4 linked regions of the Drosophila melanogaster genome follow. The protein of the gene in region 1 interacts with the protein of each later gene in a biochemical or structural test. Each region holds a gene or a part of one and is shown in the gene's direction. Other genes may lie near its edges. The genes, in order: png, BicC, CG34159 and tral.

Region 1 (3,645 bases):
GCAAGAACGCGGTCTGTCGTTCGCTGAGGGCAAAAGTTTCGAGTTAGTTGAAGGTGAGGGTGCTCGATCACCGATTTGCGGTGAGACGAAAGAAAAGTATGCATTGTTGCGTTGTAAAGAGAGCCGGCGCTCGTCTTGTTCACATTGTCGCTGAGAACGTATGTCGTTTTGATTCATTGTTCTAAGTCCACATATAACAATTACCAGAACAATATGGAATAATTATTTATTTTAGTAAATAATTACTATAGTCAATAATTGTTAGTTGTGCAAACTGCACTTTACACTTTGTGTTTAACTTTCACTATACTGTTGTAGTTTTTAGAACTTGCTATTCGTAGCTTGAAAGAAACACGTCTCCACCCGAAGACTGTGGAATGCCGAACGCGCGCTTTAATGCTATCTAAAATTGACTACGGACTGCCAATCTTCGGTTGGTGTGCTAAATCACACTTAAAAAAGCTACAAGTCCCATATCACGGAGCGGTCCGTCGCGCCATTCACGCATTTCCCACATCTCCAGTAGCGTGCACATTGGCAGAATCGGGTCTCCCGAGTATCCAATCACGCGTAGAAGAAACTACATTGATGCTTATCCCGAAGCTGTACACCACGTCAAACTGCCTGCTAACCAAAGACTTCGGAGCCATATTTAAACAAAAACGGAAATTCAAGTGCATATCCACCCTAAGACGTTGCGCCAACTACATCAAGCTACTTGACCTTCCCCTGCCTAAGCCCAGGAGGCCCTTCAAATCGCCAGCACTTTGGGGTTCCAAACAGCCTAACATAAACCTTCAAATATACAATGCTGCCAAAAAGGATACAGGTCGCCTAGAATACCAAAAACGTTTTATGAGCGCACAAGAAGATCTTGGTGTGAAAAACTGGATCTACACCGATGGTTCTAAAGTCACCGGCGCAACTACTTTTGCGGTTGTTGACTCTAACCGTAAAATAATTGCAGGAGGTAGGCTTCCGTCCTACAACTCCATATTTACAGCCGAAGCTTTCGCCATTCTCAAAGCATGCCAATTCGCTTCCAAAAACGCTGGAAAATCTGTTATCTGCACAGACAGCCTCTCCTCTCTTTCCGCTATACGCAACTGGAACCATAATGACCCCACAACACAAGAAGTTAGGCACATTCTAAGTTCTCACCCAAAAAAAATCACCTTACTCTGGGTTCCCAGTCATCAAGGTATTCATGGGAATGAACTTGCTGACAAAGCCGCCCAAGAGATGAGGCTTACACCATCAATCCTGTTCACTCCGTTTAACTCCAAGGACCTAAAAAGTCGAATCAAGTTATACCTCAAAGAAAAGAAACTCTCCGAATGGGCACTCTTCATGCACAGGTACCAGTCTATCAATCCGAATTGCATCATGTTCAAGCCACCAACGAACGTACATAAACGGGAATGCGCGACCTTTATCCGTCTACGCATCGGGCACACCCAATCCACACATCAACACTTACTGATGAGATCGGCGCGACCAACATGCCAACTATGCGGGGACGAGCTCACCGTTGACCATATTCTCAACGCCTGCAGTCAATTGCACTCAATTAGATCTCACTTATTTGGTACACATAGTCTCTCGAATTGTTTAAGTATCCCATCCTGTGAAAATATCTCAAAAATTTACAAATTTGTCCAAAAAGCTAAGTTTATTATATAAAGCAATTAACCCATAAGTCTCGAGTCGAAGGCCCCCGTAGCTAGTACTCATTAAATTTAATTAGGTTTAGTATTGTATACTATATTTAATTTTGTTAAATAAAATAAATAAAAATTTAGGATAGTCATACTTTTCACATGGATGGACTTTTTGAATGGGGTTAGTTCACGATGCGTTAGTTTGATTAATTAACCAGACTCTAATAACTTACTTTCATTGAGCACTGTTGCTGCTGGCCAGATGAGCAATTTTCATATGGGGTTTCCGAAGTTCCGAGTTTTCGGCTTTTTCCGATGGAACTGTGCATCTCTTGTTTCGAAGCAATCGATAGATGGCGCGCTTGCGCTTTTGCTGGCTAACTGTACATCAAGGCGGGATCGCGGATTACGCTTTCGGAACTCTGCGCACTCGAGATGGAACTGGGTGACTCTAAGCTGCGTGCGGTAAGGGTGCTGGGCCAGGGCACCTTTGGCCGGGTCTTCCTCTGCCACCAAAACGAGGTGCGCGGACAGCCGGAGAGGAAGGTGTGCGTGAAGCGGATCATCGTCCGGAATCCGAAGACAGAGTTGGGATTGATCAAGGAGGAGGTGTACATCATCTCGCAGCTGCGCCACCCGCACATCGTTGAGTTCCTGCGCTCCTTTAGCCACGCGGGCACTGTGAACATCGTGATGGAGTACGTGCCCAACGGCACCTTGAGGGATGTCATCCAGCAGCTGCCGTCAGGCACCGGGGGAGTCAATCAGGAGCGGCTGATGGGCTACTTCCGCGACATGGTAGTGGGACTCGAGTACCTGCACATCCGCTGCGTCATCCACCGAGACATCAAGCCCGAGAACATGCTCCTCGACGCCAACGACCGCGTCAAGATCGCCGACTTTGGGATCGCGAACGTTCATGCGCCCAGCACTCAACTGCAGGCGGGCATGGGCACGCCCATGTACATGGCCCCGGAGGCGATGTCCAGCCAGGGCAAGGTGGATTTCAAGTCGGACGTGTGGTCACTGGGGCTAGTCCTCTACGAGCTGTGCCTCGGACGCAGCCCCTTCGCCGCGTTTCTCGACAAGAACGCCACCCCTGCCCTACTGCACACCGTAGTCCAGGCGCTGGTCCGCCCCCGGCTCGACTGCCAGCTCATCCGGCGTCTCTACGATCCCGTGTGGGCGCAAGTTTGCGAGCTGATGGTCGTTTACGAGCAGGAGCGCCGCATCTGCCTACCAGACATCTTCCACCTCGACGCCGGCATGACTGTGACCCTCTACAAGCATTACTTCAGCTACAGCTACTAACGGAAGCCAATGGTCAGCTCACCAGCACGAGGAGACCTCAACAAATATTTCATTGTACTTAAGAACTAGGCTAGCTTAAGCGATAAATTAAGGTGTGTGCTGTGCTTTGTGTGCGCCTGTGCTTTTGCCAGGGGATCTGTCAGCTATAAACAGTATATAATGTATATTCCAAAACAGTCTCGCTCAATGTCATTAACGTAGTCTTTAATTTACATTTGTTCACCTATTGTACAGTAACATTAATCCTCTAAAGCTTCTGGCCCTGCTGCTGCAGCTGGATCTTACGCTTCAGACTCTTTACCAGGGCGTTCTGCTCCAGCTGCTGCTTACTCCTCTTGGGGGCTACCTGCTCATCCCCATCCGCATCGCCGTTTGCAGCGCCGCCCTCCCCCTGCTCCTTTCTGCGCTTTAACTTCTCGCCGATGATCTGCTGCATGCCCTTGGTGGGCTTGTAATGGGAGTGGGTGGGATCGATGTTGTACTCGTGCGACTTGTAAACGGCACTGAAGCGATTATCATTCAGGTTTACCTGGAAGTCGTCGTCCAGCTTCTCCGCATTCTGCGGCTGATTTTTCGATTTCTTTAACTTCTGACGACGCTTTCGCTTTGAACCGCTCGCTTCTTGCTCCTCCTTCTTGAGGATTTTGGTCAGACTGAAGTGTTGCTTCTCGTC
Region 2 (7,931 bases), on another chromosome or scaffold:
TATTTTCACTTTTTATTCCCGATACTTTCGAACAGATCTTTACTGTAAAAAATAAAAGATCACAATAAGCCACGACAAATGGCTCTCAGTGAAGAGAACATTAAGAGATGCGGAAAGTCAAACCAAAAATGCACAGTTGCCTGGGCACTGGGCACGTACAGGGTGAGAAAATGCGTGTGCTCAGTCACTGAAAATCAAAATGTACTTAGAATAAATACTATGTACTTCAAACTCTTATGTTATATATCAAGCGTTAAATATATTCAAATAAAAAATCAAAAAGTTATAGGAATTGTGCACAGTGTACAGCAAGCTGAACTTTAGACTGCACTTGAGCTTAGCTTTCGGGTACCGTAGTGCATTTTAAAGTGGGGTTTTGACAGCTTCAAAATTGTAAACAACCGAATATAATTTAAGTCAATACTAATACCCGTTACTTTTAGAGTAAAAGAGTGTTCTAGATTAGTGGAATCGTTTGTAACATTATAAGGTATTCATCTGAGTAACGGGTATCTTATAGTCGAGAGAATCGACTATAACTTTATTTTGTTTGTTTTCTCCTTTCAGAATGAAGAAGACATTATGTCAATGTGTAAATAAAAGCTTAAAACCAAGCACAAAATTAATATTTTGTAACATCCACTGTACAGAAAGGAACTTTTTACGGTTGTGGAAATGAAAAGCAAAATTAATTATTATAGCAAGCGTTTATTTGTAGAAAACAACGAATACATAGAGCAAATTAAAACGAAAAAGAATCTTTATTTTCAAGTCTTGTTTCGGCAATATTAAAACTCGATGAAAGCAAAAGAATTATTTGAACATTTTTGGCCAACAAAAATCCAGCGGTAAATAGTTCCTTTACCTTAAACACAATTCAATGTATGCAATGGGTAATCGTAGCCCAAAAACAAATGAAAATGTATATTAAAAAAAAATAACAATAATAAAAAATAAATGTTGAATAATTTATAAATTCAGTACATATATTTAAAGTGTAAATAAAATGATAAAACGTAATAATAAAACTTATGAAATATAAATTAATTGGTGTACATGCAAAAACAAGTAATACAAATAGATAATTATATAATAATAAACTGCATGCCGCCAGATTTTTGTAATCAAATCGTGTTGTGAAAGTTGTCTTCCCTAATTTATGCCCATTACATTAAAACATTGACAGGGGATTTTAATTTTAATTTCAGTATGGTTTCAATTATGGCCAATATATATAATAAACTATAACCATATGTATAAGAATGTAAAAAGCTAGTTTTATGTACATAAAAATGGGACAAACATTTTGATGTTACTGAATAAATATTAAAAGTATTAACCAAGAAATATGAAAGTAGGATAAAAAAACAGTGAATGTTTCCAGCTGCTAGGAAAAACGATAAGTCTTAGATCTATAAAGAGAATCAAAAACGCGGTCAAATGCATAGCACATAATATATTCATATCCCCAATAAATAACCCGAAATGTGTAAAGCCAGAATAAATGTAATAATAAGATTGAAGAAAACAAAATAGTGATGTAAAATAGCAGCAAGGAAATAAAGTAACCCCTATTCAATAACTATTGCTGACGTCTTTTACTCGTACATGTCATCATTTAATTACGTAATTTAAGTTTGGTTTATTTAAAGTTTGATTTCCGGTTGTACAAGGGTGAGCGTACTTTTAAAACCCACTGTATATAAATACTTTGGTAAAGTGCAGGTTGGGGAGTTTCAGAAGCTTGAAAAGCTCCGTTTCCCGTTATAAAGCTATTGCTGAATATCCGTTATCCAGTTGGCTGGCAGCTTTTTAAGGTTGTTCGTGCACTGGCTTCACTCCCCACAGAACACAGAGCTTTTGGATCTGAAGGTCAGTTGGGACTGGGACCCACATGCCGAGCTTAGTTTGATAGTCAGCGCGCTTTAATGACGACAACTGCACGGCGCGCACAACCCATTAATAATATATTAATTCAAAAGAGCTATAAAATATTAAAAAATATTCAAATATAACTAACTAACGCGCAGTGCACGATTTTCTGACAACAATTCAGTTTCGCTTTTCATGAGACTCCATTGCATTTTCCTTTGTGTTTTTCACACACGTGGTGTTTTTCTGTTACTCGCACTTCGATAGTGGTTATTTTTTTTGGTTACATTGAAAAAATACACCGACTGCCAGCCGAATTCCCATTCGAACCTTAATTTGACCAATTGACGGAAAATTAATTGCGCCCAAAATTAATTAGCAAGCGGATATACAATTTTTTTACGTGAAAAGAGCGTGTTATTTGTCGAAAAGATTTTACAATTGATTGTGTTTAAGTAAATTAACCTGCGATATCTATGTGTATGTGCTACGATCCGAATTTCTGACATTACGGTAAGTGGCGTGTTTTTGGCGGGAATAAAGTCGGTTTCTCTTTGTGCCGTATTTCTCTACCGTTTTTTCTGGCGCCAAAATGAATGAAAACGGTTGGCAACATTTCAAACTTAACATTGCAACATTCTAACCGCTGTTAAGCGTTTGCTCTGCAAATTGTTGTAGCTATGTTGGAGTTCTGGAACACCACCTCTCCCTGCGACTTTGTTTTGTTTTTCGCTCTCGACATATGGAATCGAATCTCTTATTCCGGGAGCGGTTCATTGACCCAGCAACAACAATATTCGCCAGATTTTCTCCTGCCAGCGATTTGCGGAATTCATCCGCTCAACAGTTAGAAGTAAATGCCGTCGAGCAGCGGGCAAAATCGATCGACGAAATCGAGAGCCGCGTTCAGTTGCCTTCAAGCCGTACTTAGAAGAAGTGCTGGTCCCCCAGAAATCAGAGAGATTTTTCCCAACTTGCATTTTTCCAATACTCTGACAAAGCCCCTCAGACCGTCGCAATCACACAGCTATATACTGATATATAGATCTCTATTGCGCAGATCACACCTTAAATGCCTTTCGTCGAGAGATTTCAACAAATACGTAATTTTGTTATGAACGTCTGCCTCGTCGAGGCCATCCAATTCGTCCAGGACCTCTCGCACGCCATCTGTCTGGACCTCCAGGGCCTATTTAATCTCAAGTAGAGATCACCGAGCGATCTCCCAGCGGTAAGTTACGCCATTGGTTTTTGGGCACAAGGAAGTGAAAGTGAAGACACGGGTGAAATTACGGTTTTCGGGATCTCGAGAGAAAGGGGAAAGTACGAACCTCATGGCAGCAGCACTCCATTTTGAGAGGTTATGTGAAAGAACACACAAGAAAGTTTGGAATTTTCGACAGGCGGCGAACCAATAATAATGTTGTTATCCATAATAATATTAATTAGTGAATTTTTATTTCACCTTTTCGCGGCATTATTCTCACAAATTTATAAGACAGATTTTCAAATTAAGACAGAAAGTTTTTTAATGTTAGTGAAAAGTACTTATTCCAGTTGATAGTTAAATACTATTTACCGCAAAAAATTAAAAGAGAACTAAATTTAAAGGTAAAATCGTTTTTTTTTTTGGAAAGTGCATTGCTTAAATTATGGTACCGACTATCAAAATAAAAATAATTAATTTTTATATGGTGTTTCAATATTCACTTTAAATTACCTATGACTCGCTTTCTAACCACTCTCTTCTTATTACGAACATCAATTTTCTTGTTACATCATTTCGGACCTTTCATTTTTCATCACCAGCTCATCCCATCAATTCAGATACACTTTACTTCATTAAGTAGCAGCAATCATCTAACAAAGCTGACCAAACAACGGACCGGCTTCCAGAATCCTTAACTGAGACGGACGTTTTGCTTGGTTTTTAAAACTAAACGACTTTTTGGTACCCACACCTGTTGACCTCTGACGAATTTCTCGATCCACTGACCGATCCACTGATCCAGTGATCATCATCATCATCCGAATTCCACAATGTTGTCCTGTGCCTCTTTCAATAAACTGATGTATCCGTCGGCCGCAGATGTTGCCAAACCGCCAATGGTGGGCTTGGAGGTGGAAGCTGGATCCATTGGATCCCTGTCCAGTCTTCACGCCCTTCCATCGACCACCTCGGTGGGCAGTGGAGCCCCCAGCGAGACGCAGAGCGAGATCTCCTCCGTGGATAGCGATTGGAGTGACATACGCGCCATCGCCATGAAGTTGGGCGTTCAAAACCCAGACGATCTCCACACGGAACGTTTCAAGGTGGATCGACAGAAATTGGAACAGTTAATAAAAGGTAATGCCTTTATATATAAAAATAATAGATTCCTTATTATACATTGCCTTTTTTCTGATAGCGGAGAGCTCCATTGAGGGAATGAATGGAGCTGAATATTTTTTCCATGACGTGAGTACATATTTTTAAGTTTTGGGCACCTATTAGCTTCACACTTTCTTTTGTCTCATTTTGAGACACAGAATGCCATGCCTTATAAATATTGAACATATAATAATATGTTTCCTATTCAATAGTATATTAAGTTATTTAGTTTTTGAGCAAAATTTTTAAGTTAATTGATTCATGTCTTTGTTTGGCAATCTGACTTTGCATCTATAAAATTTCAGTGTATAACCCAATTTGTTTTAAGATACTGTTAGGACCGACTCTTTTGACTTGATATAAAAGAATTCGCCATATATCCAAAACATATTCTTTTACTAGATCATGAACACTACGGATACTTATGTGAGCTGGCCTTGCAGACTCAAAATTGGTGCCAAGAGCAAGAAGGGTAGGATATTGAAATATTTTCAATGTTCAAGAGTATTTTTCAAATAAATCCCATAATTTAAAGATCCCCATGTGCGAATTGTGGGAAAGGTGGATCAGGTTCAGCGGGCAAAGGAGCGCATCCTTAGCAGTCTTGACTCCAGGGTGAGTGAGCCAAAGCATAATACAAACTTATCTGTTTTAATTGTTACCCATTTTTCTCCGAACAGGGCACTCGAGTGATCATGAAAATGGACGTCAGCTACACGGATCACTCGTACATCATCGGACGAGGTGGCAACAACATCAAGCGCATAATGGACGACACGCATACCCATATCCACTTCCCCGACTCGAATCGCTCCAATCCCACGGAGAAATCCAACCAGGTGTCGCTGTGCGGCAGCCTAGAGGGCGTGGAGCGAGCCCGGGCTCTCGTTCGGCTCTCCACACCGCTGCTCATCTCCTTCGAGATGCCCGTAATGGGACCCAACAAGCCGCAGCCCGACCACGAGACTCCCTACATCAAGATGATCGAGACCAAGTTCAATGTTCAGGTGAGTTCCAGATGTCGGAGTCAACTAAGTGTAAGATTATAAATTAATTATAAATTAATCATGGCATGTTACCAAATATTATTTGCATTTGACTATAATGGCTTGATTAGTTTAACTAATTTAGGTAAGATTTTGTAATATACATTCATACATACATTTAAGAGGGGGTATAGAAAATGTCAAATTTTTTTTTCCCAACCCTTGAGAGTTGTGATTATATATTGCTCCATTATAATTTTATCAACTGATGTTACATTAGGCTAATTTTGCAGTTGTGTTATTATTATATATTTTTAAGTGATTTAGAACGCATTTAAAGTAATAAAGTTACTTAAACGTTATTTTCGAATTTGGCAACCTTAAATTACAACCAAGGATTTTTGTAAACAGTTTTTTCGTTGCTCTTAATTATTATTGAATATATTTTAAAGATTTTTCCTCCTTTCAGGTCATATTCTCCACGCGTCCAAAATTGCATACCTCGCTGGTTTTGGTCAAGGGATCCGAGAAGGAATCGGCGCAGGTCCGAGATGCCACGCAGCTGCTGATCAACTTCGCCTGTGAGAGTATTGCGGTAGGTTCGAGAAGGATAACTCAAAATAAGGCTCATCAGCGAATCCTTTTTCCTTTTTAGAGCCAAATCCTGGTGAATGTCCAGATGGAGATCTCGCCGCAGCATCACGAAATCGTCAAGGGCAAGAACAACGTGAATCTGCTGAGCATTATGGAGCGAACCCAGACCAAGATCATATTCCCCGATCTGAGCGACATGAACGTGAAGCCCCTGAAGAAGTCCCAGGTCACGATCAGCGGACGCATCGACGACGTCTACTTGGCGCGACAACAATTGCTTGGCAATTTGCCCGTAGCATTGATTTTTGACTTTCCGGACAACCACAACGATGCATCCGAAATAATGAGCCTCAACACCAAGTACGGCGTCTACATCACGTTGCGCCAGAAACAGCGGCAGAGCACCCTGGCCATTGTGGTCAAGGGAGTGGAGAAGTTTATAGGTAAGATCTCTAAAGCAATGTGTAAAGTGTATGATTTTCGTTGATTCTGCATTAATATACGATTGCACTTTCCATTATTGTTTGATTTTTATCCCATATTTTCCTTACTTTTTAGATATATTATACAATTTAAGATATTTAGCAAGTGCTGAATTAAATTTCCGTATTAATCCGTTGTTGTCACCCTCCTTAGACAAAATCTACGAGGCCCGCCAGGAGATCCTGCGCCTGGCCACGCCATTCGTGAAGCCCGAGATCCCCGACTACTACTTCATGCCAAAGGACAAAGACCTTAATCTCGCCTACCGCACCCAGTTAACTGCTCTGCTGGCTGGGTATGTGGACAGCCCGAAGACTCCATCGCTGCTGCCGCCCTCCTTGGCTGGCCAACTGACGCCCTATGCCAACAACAATCACCTGTTGTTGAACGCCAATGGCTTGGCCACGCCCACTGGGGTGTGTGCGCCCACCCAAAAATATATGCAGTTGCACAACAGCTTCCAACAGGCTCAGAATCGTTCCATGGTGGCTGGTGGGCAGAGCAACAATGGCAACTATCTGCAGGTTCCTGGAGCGGTGGCGCCGCCTCTCAAACCGCCGACTGTTTCGCCACGGAACAGCTGCAGTCAGAATACCAGTGGTTACCAGAGCTTTAGCAGCAGCACCACCTCCCTGGAGCAGTCGTATCCGCCGTATGCCCAATTGCCGGGCACCGTGTCGTCCACTTCATCCTCCACCGCGGGAAGCCAAAATCGGGCGCATTATTCGCCAGATTCCACTTACGGCAGTGAGGGTGGTGGCGTTGGCGGCGGAGGTGGTGGTGGGGCGCGTCTGGGACGACGCCTTAGCGATGGAGTGCTGCTGGGGCTGAGTAATTCCAACGGTGGAGGAGGTAACTCCGGAGGAGCCCACCTCCTGCCCGGCAGTGCCGAGAGCTATCGGAGTTTGCACTATGACCTTGGAGGAAACAAGCACTCCGGCCACCGTGCCTTTGACTTCGACATGAAACGGGCCCTGGGCTACAAAGCCATGGAGCGCACCCCGGTGGCAGGGGAGCTGCGAACACCCACGACCGCTTGGATGGGAATGGGCTTGAGCAGCACCTCGCCCGCCCCTGCCCCGCTGGAGAACGGGGAAAATGGGGCTGCTGGTGGAGGAGCATCTAGTGGGTGGCGGCTGCCACCAGGACTGGGTTCCCCTTACGGACTGAGTGCCACCACCGGACTCCTGGACGCCACTCCAGTCAACCGACGGATGCAGCTAGCCAAGCACAAGGACATCCAGACTCTGCTCACCAGTTTGGGTCTGGAGCACTACATCAGTGAGTAGCTCCGCCGATCATGTCCGTTTTTACCAACTGTGTACTAGAAGTCTTTTATAAAGCTATCATATATGTCTGGCTTGAACTGGAGAGTGTTTTATTTAACGCAAACGTTTTTTCACAGTCATAGATAAAGTTACATAAAGTTCAACATCCATATAGCATTTAAAATCAAACTATTTTATATTTACAACCTGGGAAAACTACAGTTTTTATTTCTCCTTTCAGAAATATTCGTTCTAAACGAAATCGACCTGGAGGTGTTCACCACCCTGACCGAGGAAAACCTGATGGAGCTGGGTATCGCGGCGTTTGGAGCTCGCAAGAAGCTGCTGACGGCCATT
Region 3 (4,338 bases), on another chromosome or scaffold:
CGACGTCAAAGGAAATCCGGCGAACTGCACCTGGTGCGACGCCTCATGGATTTCGAGTCGCCGTATATAACGCGTCTGCATGTACAGCCCTGCGAACTGCTGCTGCGTACCTGCTACTGGGACTCCAGTAGAGATGCCAAGCTAACTGGAAGCAAAGTGGCATTGAATTTGCTCTACAACCAGACCGTTGCGGACGTGAACCGCGAGTGGGTGGTCATCTGTACGCCCGGCGAGGGTCGCCAACTGAACAGCCTGCAGATGCAGGGAAGAGCGCGTGAGTACATGGACCTGGTGCGTCAGCTGCCCTCCTACGGCTGCCTGCAGTTCGATGAGGCGCAGGTGGACTATCCGGAGCCGGACACAATGGCGTTAATTAGCATTGGCAACAAGGAGTTGGCTCTGCGCACGGCACGTGGCGTTAAGATCTACGAGACGAAGTTCCGGGTGACTAGGATGCGCTCGTGGCGCGTCAGCGTTACACACATTACGCTGGAATCGCGGCTGGAACCCACGCATCTCCAGCTGGCCTTTGAATATCTGATTGGCAAGCAGACGCTGCGCTGGATCACTATTAACAGTGATCAGGCCATGCTGATGTCCGTGTGCCTGCAGGCCATGGTCGACGAGTTGTTACAGCGAGGCGCTGGCAGTGGAAAGGATCAGAATAGCGATGAGGAGCAGGAACAGAATGCAGTCACGTCGTCCTCATCAACACCCAGCTCAACCTGTTCCACGTCGACATGGGCATCCTCCACGTGTTCTACATCCACTGCGCCCACAACGCCGCCAGTTAGGTTTCTGTCCGAAGATTCGGCGCCCAGATCCAAACCCAGGTTGACTACATCGCGCACCTTCGGAGCCGTATTCTTCCGCAACGACGTGGTGGACAATGGAGCACGCGTGGCCAACGGTGCGTTCGAGGGCATCGGCGATGATGATCTATGAGAGTGCTAAAGGAATGCTTGCCGTGAGTTGCCAAAAATCGAGTCCTTTTTCCGAAAAGGAAAAGGCGCGCCAAACTATTTAGAAAACCATTGCGTCTGCGGATGCAGGAGCAGCTTAACTCATTCGACTAAGGTTGAAGATTTTATATATATGTGTGTGTAATAGAAAAGACTTTAATCTATCTGCTACTTGCAAGTGTTACGAAGCCCGAACTAAGTGGGATTTGCGCAGCATAAGTTTAATTGAATGAAGGCGCTAAAATGTGTTGTAAAGAATTGAATGCTCAAGATGAATGGCACGTTTTACCATCATTATATCTAGATCTACGTGTTGAACTATTGTAAATGATCTGTAAATGGATGCTCGACGGATACTTTTATCTCTTTTATCATTTCTTGTATTGTAATATATGTACGTGGAACTTTCTTTACTTTAGAGATAGTTGAAAATATGTTATGCATTTTACAAAAATAAATGTACTGATGACTATGGCATCCGGAACGAGTCCAACCGGATATTTCAAGCAAAAAAGAAAAAGAAACTAAACAATGAACTATGAATGTACATTCCCTTATCTGTTGACTCACTTCCAAATAAATGACAAAAATGTTTCGAACTGCGTTTTTAGCAAATATCTTTTTAGGGTCTTTAATGGTAATAAAATGATGTCATTTTAGCACGTCATTGAATTCAAGCTAGATAATTTTTGAATATCATTGTTCATAGTGAAAGGGAACACAAAAGTGGCATTTAAAAGTTATTGTTGCGGAATAAAATAATTATATCGTATTAATAACGTTTAAATCATAAAGAGAAACGGATATTTAATGGAATTTAAGTGACTACAATTTAAAAATCTGTTGATAAATTACTTTTATAACTATACTTATCATTCTCTGGAGAATATAATTAAACCAGATAACATTTATTTGTACATTAAATGTTATTTAATTAATATTTTTGAATTTATTAACTTAAATCCGTTTGAATGGAGTTAGGGGTATTCGAACCGATGGGCGCCAATAAACCATTATTTTGGTATAATTTCTTGGTATAGGTGGACCATTGAGCCGCGGTCACACTGCGACTGAAGAGAAAAGATTTATACGGAATATAAATAAATTTTCGGCGATAAACAAGACAACTTGGGGAGATTAATTTTACTCAAGCACCTGACAACATGGATCGCAATAATGGGTAATGTATTTGGATATACAGTGCACGCACCCAAAATCGTTACTTTCGCTCGAATTTAACCTGTGTGCGTCAAGCGACAAAAGACTGTGTTTACACACATACGCATGTATGTATGTATGTGCGATCTTCCAAACGATTAACCGTTACTGCTATTTTGTTATATATAAAACTGCGAATTAAATATTAAAAATATTGGGGAAGAAGCATTTCTAACCTAATTACTTTGATTAGCAGGTTATTAACCAGCATATATAGATGCCATAGGATCTTAATAATTCAGGAATTTCAAAAGACAGTTTTTGAAGTTCATATTAAAGTGTAAATTGGTTAATTTGGAAAACTCATTTGCTAAACTGTATTTAAAATAATGCTTAAAGTAGGTCATGGTCATAAAAAGTTTTTTTTTTTTAATATCAGCACAACAAATACAGTGCAGCTTTCAATCAAGGAGTTTGCTTCGCTTTCATAAAGTTAATGATAAGAACTAAATATATTATTATTTACGCTTTAGACGCTATCCCTACAACATTAGGCGGCAGAACAGCGGGCACAATGCGCCGCACAGCTACCATCACCACCATAACAACAATTCGGCGGCGGGGGCGTCCAATTCGCCGGGATACAATAACCACAGTGCCGGAAACTCTCCGTCCGTCGGTGGCCATAACAACAGCAATCCGCTCTACGCCTCCGCCGCCGGACAGCAGCAGCAACAACAGCAACCACAGAGCCTGCCAATCTCGCAGCACGATGAGCTCATCCGGTACATCCGGGGGGCATGGATCAAGGTGAGCAGCTTACTTGGATCCAAAAGGCCGCTCCTTTGTCACCCTGCTTCGCTTTTCGCACGCGGACATCAGGGACCGTGAACACTTGCTCGTTATTCAGACTTTGCAGTCCAATCTTTTCTTTAGAAGAATAGGAAACGATAGTGGATAATTCCAATTTCGATCAGCAGGATCATTCTATGCATTTTAGGCATCAAGATCTAGTTTAGAAATAGCCAACCTCGAGTCCAACAAGTTACCTTTAGGTATCTTTCTAAAATATTCAAGAGCATTTTGATGGTGAAAACCATTGAGATTCGCGGTCCCCGGTCCAAATTGTCGGTTGCTCTTCATGCTTTGCTCTCTCTCCAGGTCTACGAACAGGGTCCACCTGTGCTGTACTGCAACGAATCCGACAATCAGCTGAAGAACTTTAAGCCATTCGATTTGGAGGAGTACTGGGGCCAGCGCCTGGTGCAGAACATCCATGTGACCACCACGCAGGCCGGTGGACACCAGTAGAAGCGGGAATCTGAACAGCGGACAACGGCATGTGCTCCATGTGGTAACGATTAATTAAATTATACATTTAAAAAGGGTGCCAGCTTCCTCCCGATTATTGACTAATTTCCATGCTATTGGAATTTACAATTTATGTTTGTTTGCTAACTGCTTTGGACTATTGTGTGTGTAAAAAAAAAAAAAACGATTTAAATCCACTGCCAGCTGAAAGGCAAACCATGATTCAATAAAGTGTACATTGGCAAACGATTTTTATCCCTGGCACCCTGAATCTAGCTTGCTATCTGCATTTAAGTGTTGTGCACTAAGCGCGCTTAAAATTTGACCAGAACAACAATAAACAATCTAGAGCGTAGACAAATTAACAAGAATCCTGTGTTTTCATTTCAAATAATGGGCCTACAAAAGCAAACTGTCTAAATTTTAAATTTAAATATTGCTATACATCGAATTATTAACGATTAGCAAACCAAAAAATTATACTGAACGTGGGGTTAATCTTAGCAAAGGGCAAGACTTTCTGGAGTACCGCAGAATTCTTTAAAGTAAAAATGTAACATTAAAATGAAAGAAAATTACTAAATTTAAAGTTGTTATGAAACTATTGGTACATTTAACTAAACGTTCCTTAAAAAAGTCCTCTCTCTCTTCACTGATATTTTCCAATTTAAGTCGCAATGACTAAATCAGCGAATCGAAGCGAAAACACTGCGTTTTTGTACTGAACGGCATTTCGTGGGTTTATAAAAGTAACTTTTATTTCTCTCACTGTTTACATCGAACCGCTGCAGTTGTCGTTTCAGCACATAAATCAAAAGGAGTCCTTAGACCATCTTGCGCAGCAGACGGTTGATCTGGTCCTCGCGGTTGCCGAAGTCACCACCGTTGACATAATGGTTGGCCTTCT
Region 4 (7,019 bases), on another chromosome or scaffold:
AAGGATTTGTGACCAGTGACTCAATAAGATTTCTATAGTTAACAGACACCTTCAAGTCGGCGGGAAAGCTGATGAGCTCTTTAAGGTGACTCTCCTCGCAATGGGAGAGAATCTTGGAGTATGTCTCGTGTACATTGTCCTCGTGAAAAGGTGTTGTCTCGCATATTAACTCATATCCTATAATGCCCATGGACCAATAATCGCAGCTGACCTACAAAATGAGTTCTTGTTTTAGCTATGAACTTTCCAAACCAAACTCTGCGATCGTACAATTCTACTCACATCGTGCATCGACTTGGACAGCTTGTAGGTGGATATGGTTTGCAGCAGCTCTGGAGCTATGTAATCCGGTGTTCCCACCGGCGACAAACTCAGCACATGGCCATCGCGATCCAAGGCAGCGGCATTACCGAAATCAGCCAGTTTAATATGGCCAAAACGATCAATCAGTATATTTTCAGGCTTTATATCCCGATGCACATAGCCCATCTCGTGCAATGTGTGCAGGGCCACTGTGAGCTCGGCCAGATAGAAACGAGCCAAGTCCTCATCGAAAGGGCCGTGGCGTGACATCAAGCTGAGAAGGTCTCCGCCGGGCATGTACTCCATGACCAGGTACAGATTGTCGTTATCCTAAGTGATAAGTTAATTCAAGTACTGAAATATGCGAAAATGTGGAAATAACAAACCTGAAAGGCATACTGCAGATTGATTAGCCATTCAGAGTTGCGAATGGACATGATATCGCGCTCCTCCTTGACTTGTGACGTCGTCACCACCGACTTTTTGATCTTCTTCATGGCGTATATGTCGTTGGTTTGCCGCTCCACCACCAGGTGAACGTTGCCAAAGTATCCTTGGCCAATAAGCGTCTTGATGAGGAAGTCATCTGCGTTGACCCTGAGTTTGCGGGTCTCCTCTATGATGGGACGAACTGGAGTAGGAAATTAGATAGTAATATAATGGGTAACTAGGCATGAGCTCTATTTTCAAGGAGGGAAACCGGAACATACAGGTAAATCTATAAGAGATTCTACTCCCAATAATTTTGTGGGCTTTAATAATGGAATATGATTAGCAAAAGTAGATTCTCTGACCCGAGGAAGTAAAAATGTGGCTTCTGAGTTCCATTTCTATAGAATGGTAGATACTCCATCCGAAAACCCTGCTGACCAATGCAGTTGACTCACATTTGTTGACAAACTCGGCGATGTTGCGATCGCGCTTCTTCAGCGTATCCTTGTCGCACTCGTTGTACAGCAGACAGAAGGCGTCCAGGAGTCCCTCGCGGCAGATGGCCTCGGCCACGGCGGCGCTAGTGGTGCTCACGGGTACAATGCTTCTCCTGGTGGAGGCGGGAATACCTGATCCGGAGGCGCTTCCAGCGGGCTTCGCACAGACGCCAGCTCCTTTGCCCAGAATCAGGTTGTTCAGACGCGCGGTGCGCACGCTAATCGGCTCCATCTTGGGTGGCATGATGGACTCACTTTTATTTGCAATTTTCTCACATAAATAATACAATTAGAAATCCGTAAAATGCCAGAGCATTTTTCTGCCGTTTCGCTTTGAAAAAAATGCGCCGAGGGAAGCCGAAGAGCCAGGGATGCGTGCTCACTTTCCAGAGTTGTATTTAGGGTTGCAAGTAGGGCTGCCCTGTGAAAGAGGATAAAATTTGAATTTTAATGCAAACAGAGAACGGATAAATAATGAAATAGTCTTATTTACTTTTGGCAACCTTTTGAAGCGTCCCCTTTTATATTTTGCACAGTTTTGCACATAAACAGTTATTATTATTATTTCGCTGCCGCCGCCGCTGCTATACAACCGCGCTTTCCAACACCGTCGAGGCTCTCGCTCGTATGCATCGTTCATTTTCGACGGGTAGGTTTTCGCAGACGGACGGAGCAAAGATTTGTGCATCGAAAATTGCAATTTTCACATTTGGAGCCGTGTGTGCAGCATCACAGACATTGGAAAAGCGCTTGTCGCACTTGTGCAAAAACACAGCTTGATAAAGCAAACGCGGCTAGAAGGCGATTGGCCGCAAATTCGCCCTGGAACTGGAACGCAATTGCGTGTGAAAAAAAGACGGAAAAAAAGTAAAAGAGCAGAGACTGAAACCGTCGAGAAATCGTTGTCGTCGCGCTCGCTATAATTGTTTGCTTTTGACAGAGAAATTCGTGTGCCTGTTGGCAGAAACATTTAATAATAGTTTGTATTTTCGGCGTGAGTGCGCAGTGAAGCATCGAAGTAGTTCAAGATGAGCGGGGGATTACCGGAGTTGGGCTCCAAAATCAGCCTCATTTCCAAGGCGGACATTCGATACGAGGGCCGCCTGTACACGGTGGATCCGCAGGAGTGCACCATTGCGCTCTCGAGTGGTAAGTATTTAATACGAAAATCGCCCACGTCGCCCATATATGTACATATACGGGATATACATATGTGGGTGCCGTAATCTGCGCCAAAAAAAAAGAAAAAAAAAATCGTGTAAAAAAACGGTTCATCGCAAAAGAAAATGGATTCTGTCCATTTCTCTTGTGTTGGTGGCTCTACTCTTTCTTTCCTTTTGGTTCGTTTCTTTTTGTTAGTTTTTACAGTAATTTCATACTCGTGGAGACGGTGAGTGCAATTGCCGCCACCGCTCTCTCCATTACCCATTTCGACAGCCGTCTCTCGCTCTCCCACTTATGCTTTTTGTTTGTCATGTTGGCTTTGGCCTGTTTTTGTCTTTGGTTGTTGTTGTACAGTGTTGCTTTTGCAATTTACTTGGCACACATACACCCGCGCACAAAGTAACGAGCACCAGCAAGGCCCCAATGCAATTTGTTTATTTGCAAATACAATTTCGATTTGGCGCCAGATAACGGGATCCAAGGGCTCCCGTTACGGATGTCAGTGCCCTGGAAGTCGAAAAGGAGGAACGGAGAGCGGAGAAATACCGGCAAAACATGCGTTCCCCAGTTGAGGTTAAATTGGAAGCGCGGCCTAACCTTAATGGGTTTACAAGTTTGCCGCAATCCAAGTAATTCGTCTTTTGAACAATTGCATTATATAATGCGGTGCATTCATTTTAAAACAATTGGAATATAAACTTGAAAGATGTGGGCTCGGAAAGTTCCACTTATTAGATGGAGCACTTTTAAAAACCGACTTAGAATACCGGTTAAGCAAAAAAGGTAGCTTATTTGCAATGGAAAAATTTAAAAATTTAAAAGTTTAGTTTTGTGAAAGATCTTTCTTAAAGCAATGGAATAAAAATGGCGGCTGGGATAAGAAAACTTTACGGAAAAAATGTTCACTATTGTACTCTTTATACGATTTAATATTATAACTCAATTCATTTTAACCCTCTTTTCTTTTTCAGTGCGATCCTTCGGTACAGAAGATCGGGACACCCAGTTCCAGATAGCGCCGCAATCGCAGATCTACGACTACATCCTATTCCGTGGCTCGGACATCAAGGACATTCGCGTTGTCAACAACCACACGCTGCCGCACCACAATGACCCGGCGATCATGCAGGCGCAGCTCCAGAACGGACCGCCCCAGATGCCGCAGCACTTCCCCATGCCCAGCGGGATGAGCGGTCCGCCGCAGCAGCAACAGGTGCCGTCGCAGCAACCGCCCCAAATGCCAAGCGGTGGAGGCAGTGGTGGTGCTGGTGGAGCAGGAGCTCCTGGCGGCGGCGGACCCGGCTACGGCAATGGCAATCCGTTCGGCAACCTCGGCGGTCCCAATCTGGCCAACATGGTGGGCAATGCGGGCGGATCGCTTGCACCCGGTTCCGGTGCTCCGGGCAGCGGACCCTTCATGCACATCGGTGGCAATCAGCAGCAACCGAAGCCCCAGCAGCAGAAACAGCCAAGTGAGTTGGTGTAGACCACACATTACTAAAATTACATTGCACACAAGTAGAACTTCTCATTTGTGATCTTAAATCAAAATTCGTTTCCTGCTAAAAAGCGATTGCTATTTTCAAAAACGCAAATTCCGGGAATAGTTTAAGATATGGTTCATTTTGTGGCTTTATCCGATAAGCGAGCATGTCGATTTAAATGCTTAAAAATTACGCTCTTTTACTCAGCCCTTTAAAATAGTTAATGTCACCTTTTGATACAAAGTATTTGACACAAGTATTTGTTTGGACTAATGTTTTTGGTGCCCACACGCATTACTCTCTCCTTTACTTTCGTCCTCGTTGCGTCCTCTATATGTGTACAGTTTCCGTTCTAGACATGCTGGCCGGTGCCTCGCGATCGACGACGCCCATTAGCCTGATTGTGAGTCCCACGGCGGAGCTGACTCAGCAGCAGCAGCTGCACCAGCAACAGAACGCTGGCCAGGGTGGCAACGGACGCGATGCAGGACATAAGCGCCAGAACCACCAGCAGCAACAGAATCAGCAGCATCAGCAACGTGGCGGACCCAGCCACAACAATATGCAGCAGCAGCAGCAACGAGGCGGCGGCAGTGGAACGGACTTCTATAACCAGCAGCGGGATCGTCGGGACTCCGGACGTCAAATGGACAACAACTATAGCAACAACTACAACAACAATAATAATAATCAGCGCAATCGCGGCGGCGGCAACGGAATGCAACAGCAGCAGCGAGGAGGAAACGGCGGCAGCGGCGGCGGCGGTGGAAACGGAGGTGGAAACAACCCGGCCTGGAACATGCATCGCGGCAACCAGAACTCGAACAACATGATGAACATGCGCAACCGCGGCATGGGATCCCGCGGCCCCATGCGACCCAATCAGGTACACCTGCTGGTGACTCACACTGCTATAGATGGTTTATTAAACCCTGGCTTTCACATTTTGCAGGGCTATCGTCCGCAGTCGGCCAATAATCAGAACAAGCCGCGGAACAAGATCAAGTTCGAGGGCGACTTCGATTTCGAGCAGGCAAACAACAAGTTCGAGGAACTGCGCTCCCAACTGGCCAAGCTCAAGGTGGCCGAGGATGGTGCACCCAAGCCAGCCACCAATGCAACGGCCGCCACTGCAACTGCAACCAATGAGCAGGTGGGTGAGAAGGTTGAAGGCGTTCACACAGTAAGTCCACATACACTTTTTATTTTTATACACTACAAATTAGTTCTAAATGAATAAGAGCAGTTTATTAACAAATAAGGTAAATCTTCTTCTTTATTTATTGCTTGTTTAAGTTCAGTTTAAGTAACATTTTCTATACGATCGTTTTAAGAGTTACTCACTATTTGCATCATCTGCTTGCAGCTGAATGGCGAGACCGACAAGAAGGATGATTCTGGCAACGAGACCGGCGCTGGAGAGCACGAGCCTGAGGAGGATGATGTTGCTGTGTGCTACGACAAGACCAAATCGTTCTTCGACAACATCTCGTGCGAGGCTGCCCAGGATCGCAGCAAGAACAAGAAGAACGATTGGCGCCAGGAGCGCAAGTTGAACACGGAGACCTTCGGAGTGTCCTCCACACGACGTGGCAGGTAAGTCCAATCGAAGCAATCAAGCAAATGCAGTGTGGCTCATCAACTGAATGTATTCCAAGCAGTTACCGCGGACGCAACCAATACTACAACAATAATGGCAACGGCGGCATTAACTCGGGATATGGAGGAGCGCCAGGCTACAACAGGAACAATTATCGCATGGGTGGCGGCGGCGGAAACTTCCGAAACAGGAGCAACAATCGCAACAACGGCGGCGGTCGTGGCGGAAACGGAATGCCAAACATCACCAATGGCAACACGGCTGCTGCGCTGAAGGCGGCCAACAATGCTGCTGGCCACGGATCCAATGCCACGGACTCCAGTGCACCAAATGCCACAACCGCGACGACAAAGTCGACGTCCCTCTTGCCAGAGCAGACGCAACAGGTGGCGGCAGTTTGTGAGTAGCAATTACATCTAAGCACTTCATTTGCAACATGTTTGTTTACATGTGTGTCTGTTTACTTTTGCAGCACAATAGTGCCGCCCGGCCAGTGGAAAGCCACTTTAAATATACACCAACCACAACCAACAAACCACAAATTGATAGATGCGAATTGAGAAGAGCGTAAAGTAAATATCCTATTCATTGCAAAGCTAATTATTCGAAGCAAACCAATCAAGTGACCCGAACGATCGACGACACACAGGCTCTTATTATCAGGAATTTCGAGTTATGGATCCAGCGGCATAATATATTTGTATAATTAAATTAGTGTTACAATTCTCACGACGTCCTGGGGCGCACTCCGCTGCTGCCCGCCCACCACCACCGTGTGCTTGGCGATGATAAGCGCTCTACGATTCGATTAATGATTAGCGACTAGCGCGAATGTGAATGTGAATGTGAACCGAACCGAACCGAACCGAACCGGCCATGTGTTAGGCTTTGTGTAAATGGCTGGTTCCAACGCCTTGCGCTGAGCAAAAAGCACGGCATTGATAAGAAGGAGCAGATAATGGCACGCCAGCATACATACATATATTTAGTAAGAACATAGTTAAGCATAAGTATGAAAAGCTACAAAAAACAAAACAAAACGAAAGCAACCATTTAGCAAGGAGAGGAGCAAGGAGATTTGGCGGAGGAGCCGATAACAACAATAATGAAATTAATGGAGTAAACCAATTAAATCCATGGAATTCCCAAATCTAAAATAAAAGCTAACTTAATACGTTTTTATTTGAATGAAAGAGTAACAAATCGATTGTAATATTGTATTTCTTGTGGGCGTAAAACATCGACAAACGCTCGACCCGTTTTACTAGCATTTAAAACAACTATTATTTAAGAGCATTTTAAACATGAAAAAAAGAAAATAAAATCGGCAGCTACGCGCTTCTATCAAAAGCACAATTGTAAAAAGTCAATCCAGCTCAGCTGCAATGAATGAATGAAGTCTCCCGAATGAAAATGTTAAACGAAAAAACCCCAACAAAAAAAAAAAAAGAAAACAACCAATCATTAGCAAATTTGTCCAAAAAGAAAAGCCCAAATTTTCGGTTTTCGTACAGTTTATTTTCTCTGATCTCGGTTGGG

What was found.
Region 2: of the proteins of png (region 1) and BicC, one has a biochemical effect on the other in vitro, tested with the Drosophila melanogaster proteins (one study listed by BioGRID).
Region 3: of the proteins of png (region 1) and CG34159, one has a biochemical effect on the other in vitro, tested with the Drosophila melanogaster proteins (one study listed by BioGRID).
Region 4: of the proteins of png (region 1) and tral, one has a biochemical effect on the other in vitro, tested with the Drosophila melanogaster proteins (one study listed by BioGRID).

What each region holds. Positions count from the first base shown.
Region 1 is NC_004354.4:1,355,985-1,359,629, reverse strand, and holds png (pan gu), read left to right. Parts: upstream 1-2,028; 5' UTR 2,029-2,096; coding exon 2,097-2,972; 3' UTR 2,973-3,142; downstream 3,143-3,645. Other genes in the region: CG11417 (uncharacterized protein), read right to left, coding at 3,220-3,645.
Region 2 is NT_033779.5:16,040,143-16,048,073, forward strand, and holds the start of BicC (bicaudal C), read left to right. Parts: upstream 1-1,904; 5' UTR 1,905-2,385; intron 2,386-2,774; exon of another isoform or gene 2,775-2,932; 5' UTR 2,933-2,944; coding exon of another isoform or gene 2,945-3,079; 5' UTR 3,080-3,103; intron 3,104-3,681; 5' UTR 3,682-3,912; coding exon 3,913-4,219; intron 4,220-4,280; coding exon 4,281-4,330; intron 4,331-4,409; exon of another isoform or gene 4,410-4,645; coding exon 4,646-4,715; intron 4,716-4,778; coding exon 4,779-4,858; intron 4,859-4,923; coding exon 4,924-5,250; intron 5,251-5,698; coding exon 5,699-5,824; intron 5,825-5,884; coding exon 5,885-6,266; intron 6,267-6,459; coding exon 6,460-7,587; intron 7,588-7,815; coding exon 7,816-7,931. Other genes in the region: CG45084 (uncharacterized protein), read left to right, coding at 2,945-3,079. UniProt on the Drosophila melanogaster protein: RNA-binding protein that is involved in oogenesis. Required for correct targeting of the migrating anterior follicle cells and the establishment of anterior-posterior polarity in the oocyte. May act as translational repressor of oskar during oogenesis.
Region 3 is NT_033779.5:10,201,976-10,206,313, reverse strand, and holds CG34159 (uncharacterized protein), read left to right. Parts: upstream 1-1,996; 5' UTR 1,997-2,125; coding exon 2,126-2,142; intron 2,143-2,653; coding exon 2,654-2,930; intron 2,931-3,281; coding exon 3,282-3,431; 3' UTR 3,432-3,794; downstream 3,795-4,338. Other genes in the region: Snx17 (sorting nexin 17), read left to right, coding at 1-945; RpL7 (ribosomal protein L7), read right to left, coding at 4,256-4,338.
Region 4 is NT_037436.4:12,513,192-12,520,210, forward strand, and holds tral (trailer hitch), read left to right. Parts: upstream 1-1,867; 5' UTR 1,868-2,260; coding exon 2,261-2,381; intron 2,382-3,367; coding exon 3,368-3,868; intron 3,869-4,224; coding exon 4,225-4,766; intron 4,767-4,832; coding exon 4,833-5,063; intron 5,064-5,246; coding exon 5,247-5,476; intron 5,477-5,538; coding exon 5,539-5,879; intron 5,880-5,952; coding exon 5,953-5,960; 3' UTR 5,961-6,504; downstream 6,505-7,019. Other genes in the region: sti (sticky), read right to left, coding at 1-211, 271-633, 690-934, 1,191-1,476.